Drosophila melanogaster: one gene and its partner. The protein of the gene in region 1 interacts with the protein of each later gene in a pairwise test. Each region holds a gene or a part of one and is shown in the gene's direction. Other genes may lie near its edges.

What was found.
Region 2: the proteins of pkaap (region 1) and elgi interact in a two-hybrid assay, tested with the Drosophila melanogaster proteins (one large-scale study listed by BioGRID).

Annotation. Positions count from the first base shown.
Region 1 is NT_033779.5:16,286,465-16,291,749, forward strand, and holds pkaap (pkaap), read left to right. Parts: upstream 1-1,825; 5' UTR 1,826-1,979; coding exon 1,980-2,007; intron 2,008-2,135; coding exon 2,136-2,408; intron 2,409-2,678; coding exon 2,679-3,737; intron 3,738-3,806; coding exon 3,807-4,315; 3' UTR 4,316-4,731; downstream 4,732-5,285. Other genes in the region: crp (cropped), read right to left, coding at 634-725; CG17329 (uncharacterized protein), read left to right, coding at 4,878-5,285.
Region 2 is NT_037436.4:15,954,841-15,959,113, forward strand, and holds elgi (early girl), read left to right. Parts: upstream 1-1,709; 5' UTR 1,710-1,909; coding exon 1,910-1,999; intron 2,000-2,082; coding exon 2,083-2,225; intron 2,226-2,298; coding exon 2,299-2,743; intron 2,744-2,798; coding exon 2,799-2,964; intron 2,965-3,026; coding exon 3,027-3,130; 3' UTR 3,131-3,593; downstream 3,594-4,273. Other genes in the region: GXIVsPLA2, read left to right, coding at 380-469, 548-707, 771-1,213.

The DNA of each region.
Region 1 (5,285 bases):
TCCATAATAGTATAGAAAAACCAAAAATGTATTTTTAATATTGTGGCTTCTACTGAACTCTACACTTCTAAAGTTAAAGCAAATAAAAAATCATCGTTTCTAACAGCTGTACCCTTGACTCATGTTTGTGCCATCACTGTTGCCCGTCTGCCGACACTGCTGACAAATTGACAAAACAGCCGTTTTACAATATGGACGCCGAAAGGCAGAGCGTAAAAACAGCAACAACACAAACGCTGGACGAGAGCGGCGGAAAAAAAGAGAGGATGTTGAGAAGGGGGCACAGACACGAACGACGAGACAAAAAAGGAGCACATTTATTCCAGCAACAAGAAAACGGCATGGAAATGGAATGGAATGCGACACACGCTAGCTTGCATGTGTGTGAGTGAGAGATGGGTCTTAATGGTGGTGGTGTTTTTGTGCCGTATTTGTTTTGTCGGCAAAACGGCGGCAAAAAGCAAACGAGAGAATTAGAGAGAGCGCGAGTGATACGGTGACGGAGAAAAGGGAGAGCACTAGCAAAGTAGTAAAAATAATCAATAATTTGCGTGATAAAAATGCAAGCCAAGCTGTTGACTCGCCTTGTTTTTATTTGAAACAAAAGAGATTTCGATTAAGATGCAAACTTACTGCAATTCCTCATCCAATTCCTCGGCGCTGTTGTATTCGGCGTGCTCTAGAATAACTTCCTCCGTTTTGATGGCAACCGGTACGGCGGACATGTTTAATCGTGTTTGTGTATTTGCTTACTATCGTGGCCAAAATGTCTGTGCCACGTGGTTTTTGTTGTTGCGCTGCTACTGCTGCTGCTTGACGGCTACATAAACATTTGCAATTTATTTATAGCCTGTTAACTTTATTGTATTTCGAACATACACATGCGTCAGCTGGTCTCAGCTGCTTTTTGTATTTAGCGGCAAATTGTTTGCCCGTCTCACTCACACTCGCACACACTAGCACTGCACACACAAGAGAGAGAGAGAGAGATGGGGATGGAGAGCGACTCTTAGCGCGTCCAAAAGTTCTTCAATTCACTATTCTGCACTCTATGACTTTTGCGCTCTTAGTGAGCATGAGATTTGCGTATTCAAATTCGCAGATGTTTTTTGTTTTAATTTGCCACCGCACTGGCACCAACACACGCGCGCTAATAGATTTCTGTAGACGGCGAATTGGCTGCACTGTACGATTTTTCCGATCGGAAGATGCGATATCCGTCCGGTCCGCTACGTGCGTTCAATTCGGCGATAAACAGCAGAGTGACCACGGCTGCCAAGGAAAAAATCGCACATAGGGAAATACATTGATGGCACTATCGATTACATTGATGCCACTGCGATATTTCGTATTTTTGCGCTTCACAACACTGAATTTTCGTTTGCTAAGGCGCCACCTATCTGCTTAATGTTTATATCCACCAATACGCCATCTGAATGGGTAAATTTGCAAAAATTGAAGACCGCGTTGTCCCAAAAAATTTCATAACTTTATTAATTTTAAACTAAAACTGAACTCCAAATATTTAAGTATTACAATATTTAAACATCGAAATAAGCGCAATTTCTACATTTTCTTTGTGAATATTGTGAATTATGTTTTCGCCGCTATTAGCCAACCGGTATTATGAATTTTCTTTCCGCAGCGAAAATTCGCCCAGTATTATGAATTCGCTTTTCGCCGTTAATATTCGCTGTGTTTCTGTGAGTTCGCTTTTCGCCGCTTGAATTCGCTGTTCGTTAAGATTGGTTTCGAATCCTTTTAGCAAAGACTCAACCCAAAACTGTGCAAACAGAGTGGCCAGCCAGCGAAAAAAAATTAAAAAGATTAGGTCGCAAAAAAAACCCTATCGCCTAAAACCATTTTCATAATATTTACCGTCGCACTGCATTAAATTATTTCATCGAATCTCCAGTTAATCGGCATTTTGAAGCACAAGAAGCACTTCTCGAATCAACCGAAAGCCGGAGAATGTAAAGATGTTAAATTACATCAAGAGGCACGCCAGTGAGTTAAAGAAATTAAAGAAATTTCGCTGCTGTTTTCACCCAACTCCCCTTCCCCGTTTCTTCTTCACCCCTCTTCCTCTTCTGTTGACACCAATTATATTTGGTTTTTTGTTGATTTTTATTTAGGCCGACGTCGCAGCAGCCAAGATGCCACGGATGCCATTTGTGGCCAAATGCCAGCGTATGATGTGGACACCAACGACGTTGCTGGAGCTGGTGATGCAGCCAACGCTCACAAACGACACTCGCTGCGCTCCACAACCAGTTTCTGCGACGAAGTGTTCCTAGAAGCGGAGGAGGAGGGCGGCGTGGGAACCACAGGAGGAGGAGGAGGAGGAGGAGGTGGTGGTGGTGGTGGAGGAGCCCCCTCCGATGGCATCAGTCTCGCCAGCAACGATGGTAATTACCTCATTGCCCATTGTTCAATTGCTCATCACGTTGGCACCTTTGAAACTGAAATGATTGGCAAATCGCAGCGTTATTCTCGACTTTCCATGATAAAACGTAGATAACACTGTTAATGCTTATAAGGAGCGATTCCACGTATCGAAAATCCTTAAAAGTGTGTCTACATAATAGTTGTAATTGTTGTAATCTTGAAACTCATTCACATATGGCAATTGGCATTTATGCTTTACTATATAACTATACCTTTTGCTTTCTTCCCAGACATTTTCACCTACAACTCACGCCTCTCCATGAATCTCGCTTCCATCGTCAACGATCCGAACTGCCTGAGCTACTTTGTTCAGTATCTGGACACCCGACAGGCCCTGCCGCTGATCAAATTCTACTTGGACATTGAGAACTTTAAGCGGGCGGCTCTGACGCAAGAGAAGGAGGAACCAGAGGAACCTCCTCGCAAGGCAATAGAACAATCTTCTCCGCACAAAGATGACAAAGATGTACCTGAATTGAAGACGCTGTGCGATCTGTCAATGCGCAAACCCCTCACAGACGACGAGAAGAGCCGCATCTATGCGGAGACCAACAAGCAGCTCAATAGGCAAAAGTCTGGAACGGATAGTGTGCTGAACGCCGAGCTATCGCGGGCCAGCATCAGCGATGCCATTGCCATATACCAAAAGTATCTGATAGTGAACGCCAGCCTGCAAGTGGAGCTGCCCATCGTCATCCTTGCGCATATATCGCTGCTACTTTGCGGAAGGGATAAGTCCGAGTGTAGCAAACCAATTCCGGCCAGCTGCTTTGACGAAGCTAGAGAGTTTGTGCTGGAGCAGCTGGAGCGGGATCATGTGCAGGGATTTCTACAGAGCGGCTACTATTCTACATACTGTCTGGAGTTGATCGAAGGCGGCTCTGTAAATATCTACGATGTCTTGAACAGCGAACTGGCTTTGTTCTACTTCACCGAGTACCTGGAGCAGCGACAAGAGCGTGAATGCCTGGAGTTCTGGATCACCGCCATTAACTTCCGCAAGAGCTTTGCTTGTGGCGAGGAGAAGGAAGAGGATCGCAAGGCTGCGCAAAGCGATGCCATGATCATATACGACAAATACTTCTCCCTCCAGTCCGAGTGCCGTCTGTGGATGTCCCAGAAGCTGCGCTTACGAGTGGAACAAGCGATCTGTGCTCCGAATGAGCAGTGGCAAGCCTTCGATTTGGCCCTCTTGGTGACGGCCAAGTATCTGGAGCAAAAGTATTTCGCTGACTTTCTAAAGTCGCACATCTTCGATAACTACGTGAACGAACTGAAGGTCAAGAGAGGTTTGTTTGAATATATATACTTCTGTGTCACTGTGTTGCACTAACCTAAGCTTACTTTTTATTATTCAGATAATTCCACCACTCATCCGAATCTCCAGCACACGCTGAGCTTGCGAAGAGCTGGCAAGTCCTCCAATGGCCAACAACAGCGACATCGAAAAACTCTATCCATGTCAGACTGCACGCACATTTCGCAGCACAACACACTGCTGGCTTCCATGGATCAGGCGCCGTCCAAAACAGCGCTAAATCATCAGTCGGGAAATCTCAACATCGATGCTAGGCAGCTAACGAATCCACAACTTTTGTGGCAGCGTCCTGTGGGCGCACTGAAATTCGGTTTTGTTAACTCCTTGGGACGCTACGAGCGGGATTTTGAGGCCGTGGACGCAGTGGCTCTGAAATCGCAGCCGTGGTCACTGAGCGTCAGCGGTAGCAAGCTGAAAAATGCCATGCGAAAGCTGGTGAACCTGCCGGAGGATAATGTGCAAGAGGAGATAGCCTGGCAGGTGGCCGAAATGATTGTCCGGGATGTTACGAGTGTCACTCTTAGTGGCAAGACTCCTCCGCTGGCCTGATGTGCTTTACCATTACGGAATTTATTTCATATTTATTCTCATTCTTTTACAAATTACTCTTTTTTGCGAGAATCTCCACGACATGTGCACAAAGAAGAAGTCGCAACAGAAGCTCTCTCTAGTACCCTCTCCTTATGTACAAATTGTGTTGAACAAATCAAATACTTTACTTTAACTTATTTTAATTAATGCTATGGGCTTTGAAAGCGCATTATTAACTAAACTATCGCTCGCTCATTTGTTATTTACAGCAACAGAAGGCAAAACTCAAATATGAAATAGAAGCTAAGTTACTTCATTCCGTTTAAATATGATTAAACAATTGTATAACATAATAATGTATATGAATATTTTTGCATACTGATGATACACTACCAAGGAAGATTTATTGTTATGAATAAACTTTTTCAGTAACCAAATTTTCTCAATGCAATTATTTTATATTTTCATCGCAATCTACATAACAATCCGAATTTGGATTCATCTGTCACTACAATACAAAATGTCGACGGAAACAGAGACAGAGACGCAGGAAAAACAGATCAATCTCTTGTTGGTGGAAATGGAGAAAATCGAGAAGGAACTTGAGCGCACGGAGCAGCAGCAGCAGGAGCCGACGGAGCCGTCCAATGGCAATCTGGAGGAGCAAGTCCGCAAGCTCAGGGATCACAATTTGCGGGTGAAGCATCTGAATACTCAGCGTCGTCGCATCCTACGCCTGTTGCAGGGAAAGATGCTGCAGTATGCCACCCTGGAGGAACGTTTGCACAGGATTGGCGAACTCGTTCTCATCGCAGAGCTCCATTCGGGTGTGAAGACACTCAATCAGCGTCTGGACAGAATGGTGGAGAATTCAACTTGCTCCATTTGCCTGTTGCCCTGGACGGACAACGGAATACATCGCCTGGTCTCGCTCCGTTGTGGCCATTTGTTTGGCTCCAGCTGCATCCACATGGCCATTCGGCGCAAT
Region 2 (4,273 bases), on another chromosome or scaffold:
TGAGTTGTCTGTACCAGATGGCGCCAGTGTTCTGAAATTCAATTTACTTTTATTAATGTATAGCATTAATTGTAATACTCTCTGCAAAGCCAACAAGATTTTATTTTTCATAAATTTTTTTGTTTTATAAATCATAACGTATTTTATTTATAATATTTAAAAACGGTTTTAAATTTCCCATTAGGATTTTTTGAAATGTCAGGACAGTGCCTAAAAGTATGCAACCTCATATGCAGTTTGGTATGATTTCCGAGCCGGTTGGTATATTTGAACGATGACGCCTGGTCACACTGCTACAAATGTCTTTCGCATAGTTTAGTTTATTATTACGCGCAAACAACAAATAGCTGACCCTTCAAAAACGAATTAAACAGCGAACATGCAGTTCTCTTGGATGAAGGTGGCCATATACCTTCTTACGTTCCTAACCTACGCCTATTCAGGCTATGGATCCAGCACCATAGTCCACGTAAGGTGCACCGCTTCTCGTAGGAAATCTGTGAGAGCTAGTATCTGTTACTCCTGTATCTTCTCTCCCCGGATTTAGCTAAGGGATGCCATTATAGCCGCGGAGGCGATCTTTGGTGACGTGTTCAAGAACCTGATAGTGCTGGTGCGCAAATTTCGCACGGTCCACGAGGTTTTCGATGCGGCCGTGGACGAGAACTGCATATACCAGTGCCCCGCACCGGATATCGGAGGACCAGGTGTGGTGACGCACTGCGCATTATGTAAATTCCCCAGCATCCATATGTGTGTTTATCTTACAGCGCCCAGAGCGGTTCAGAATAAGTTCTATACCCCCACCGCAGATGGATGTGGTTCCTTGGGCCTGAGGATCAGCACAGACTATCTGCCGGCCAAGGAGATGGAGACATGTTGCAATGACCACGATATCTGCTACGACACCTGCAATAGCGATAAGGAGCTGTGCGACCTGGACTTCAAGAGGTGCTTGTACAAGTACTGCGACAGCTACGAGAAGTCCATAGCCAGCGATCTGATGATGAAGGGCTGCAAGGCGGCTGCCAAGATGCTATTCACCGGCACATTGACCCTGGGATGCCGCTCCTATCTGGACTCCCAGCAGAGATCCTGCTATTGCGCCCCGCCGAAGAGCTCCTCCTACAATGGCAATAGGCAGGGTAATAGCAATAGTAGGGAGAAGCAGCAGCGCCAGAAATATGGCTGGAAGGATCGCAACGAGATATAGTACAGGATCACTGGCTACGAGGGTGCGGGGACCTGGGGGTATCGGATTAAGCGTTAAATGTTTTATGTGTTGTGTTAGTCTATGAATTGGGTAGCCATGTCCATTGGACTCCCTTTTTGACGAATTTCATTATTGTATACCAAATAGTGGCATGCCAACGGTCCAGACTGTTAAATACATTGATATTTTTACCTATTATAAAGATGCTATATTTTTAAATCAACTGTGCGCTGATTAATCACCGGTGGCTTATGCTGACGTGGTCCTTTGGGCAGGATATGTATATTATTTATTAATCATATGATCGACAAGTGTGTAAACATATTTTAACCAGGACGATGACGTATTTAATTTGTTAAGCTGCCTGGCCAAAGCTAATTTAATAGTACAAATAAATGAATGGAGATCAAACAAGAATTCTATTATATCAAAAATTTTGACTTTAAGTCAAACTTAAGTTTAAAACTAAGGTGGAACAGAAAATATCTCAATATTTTCAAGCTAAACAGTTATTTTAAGAAGCCATTTCTCGCGGATTACAGCTGAAGTGCCATCCTAGCTTTCCAACACTACTCAGTCACACTACACAACACTGCACTGACTGAACCGAAAAAAAAACACACAGATTTTGCAATCCGCAGAAAAGAATTATTAATAGTATTTTTATGCGGATGGCCAGCGTGCTGAGGACCTAAGATGGGCTACGATGTGAATCGCTTTCAGGGGGAGGTGGACGAGGAGCTCACCTGTCCCATCTGCTCCGGAGTGCTTGAGGATCCGCTGCAGGTTTGTTTTGTTTGCAAAGAACGCACACCGCGAATCATACATATGCTTTAAATACAAACAATCATACATATCTACCGATTCAGGCCGTGATGTGCGAGCACGCCTTCTGCCGCGGATGCATTAACGAGTGGCTAACCCGCCAGCCCACTTGTCCGGTGGATCGAAATTCCCTGACTACTGCCAACTTGCGGGCAGTGCCTCGCATATTGCGCAACCTACTGTCCAGGTGAGAAAAACCCAACGCCTTCTACTCTGTGAACCTTGTGGACTCTAACTAATCTTTGACCCTTGCCAACCAGACTGTCAATCACCTGTGACAATGCGCCTTATGGCTGCACGGCTGTTCTCAAGCTAGACGCCTACAATTCCCATTTGGACGAATGCATTCACAATCCGAAGCGACCATTTCCCTGCGAGAAGGGATGCGGCTTTGACATACCCAAGGATGAGCTAAAGGACCACAACTGCGTGCGGGAGCTGCGCACTTTAATTGTCAAGCAGACGGAAAAAATGGGTGAGCTCAAATCGGAGCTCACCGACCAGCAGCTGACTATCAACGAACTGAAGCGCGAGCTGCAGCTATTCAAGGACTTTATGCGTGCCATGCGCGTCTCCAATCCTGCGATGCGGGCCATAGCCGACCAGATGGAGCGCGACGAGGTGATCCGCTGGAGCAGCACACTGCCCCGGGCCAGGGTTACGCGCTGGGGGGGAATGATCTCTACGCCCGACGATGCACTGCAGGTGAAGCCCAAATTCTAAATTTTTTTAAAACGTTAACTCACTTTTCATTTGATAGCTCATGATCAAGCGCGCTTTGTCCGAGTCGGGCTGTCCGCCACACATCCTGGATAGTCTTATGGAGTTCTGCCACGAGCGACGTTGGCCCCGTGGGCTCAGTTCGCTAGAGACACGTCAAACCAATCGTAGGATCTACGACAACTATGTGTGTCGACGCATTCCAGGTAACAATTTTAAACATAAATATTAACAACAAGGCTTTATCTTTAAACTTACTCTTCCGCAGGCAAGCAAGCTGTGCTCGTTTTGAGCTGCGACAACCTCCACATGACTGAGGACGTCATGATCGATCCAGGTTTGGTCATGATCTTCGCCCATGGCATCGAGTAGGCCCTCAGCCGCTGATTAACCACTTATCCTAGGTTAAATGCTAACTATATCGAACAGTGCTCAGTTTTGTTGATTCCTTAACGTAAGAGTAAGCATTAAAAACAATATTGTAAGGAAAAACTCGCAAAACAAACCATTCAAGCGCCTCATGACGACTTTCAAGTTGTACAAAAAATATATATTACTTTCGGTTCATTGTGTTTTATCCATTTAGTTAGTACGCAAATTCGTATACATCATCAAGTCGTTCGCATATACCCAATATTACATGTTTGATTAAGCGATCTCAACAAATGTCCCTTTGTTATCGTTCACTTCATTCTCATTTTGATGGAAGGAAGCTGTGAATGTCCTAATTCGCGTTTAAATTCGTATTGCACAACTTACTTAAATTTCTGAAATATTTGTCAATACTTTTAGATTAAATGTGGAAAGAGTAATAAACAGTTTATTTAACTAATGTATTCATGGAAGAATTTATTACTATAATAAACCATTTGCTTTTATAATTGATTTCTTTCAATTACGAATTTAAATTGTAATAGTATGTTACAACAAAATTCCATTTATTCATTTATTTAAGCACTCCCATGAATTATTTTTCTGAAAGATTGTCTAGCCTTTTAGATTAGAAATAGAAATAAAAGTGATTATTCCAACTAAACCGATAATTCTAGCCTCTTATCAGCTGAAAGGGCAGACAAGCGTCTGCCTTTGGAAATCCTACACAAATGTTCACTGGGATGCCCCCCACTTGCAAGCACCAACTCATTCGGGGAGATCTGTCCGCCTCCACTCTGTGGACCCGTAAAAGTTCTGGACAACATCTGTTTCCCGAAATGGAAATCGAAAAGCAACAAAAACCAAGCAGCAAGCAACCAAGCAACAAAATAAACAAAAGAAAACCAAACTAGTTCCTCCACGAGCTTTGGCCGCCAACCGGTTTCGGCTTTTGTACACCCGTTTTGTTTTTTTCCTACATAATACAACATTATACAAAGTTTGCATCGGTTACATGTGCCAAAAATCGTTGGATTATACAAGCCAGTTTTGGTTTTCAATTTTTTTCTTCGTATTTGCCGAACATCTTGAATATTGATAGAAGCAATTAGCGCCATCCAGACCAAAGGGGCAGCCCCCTAC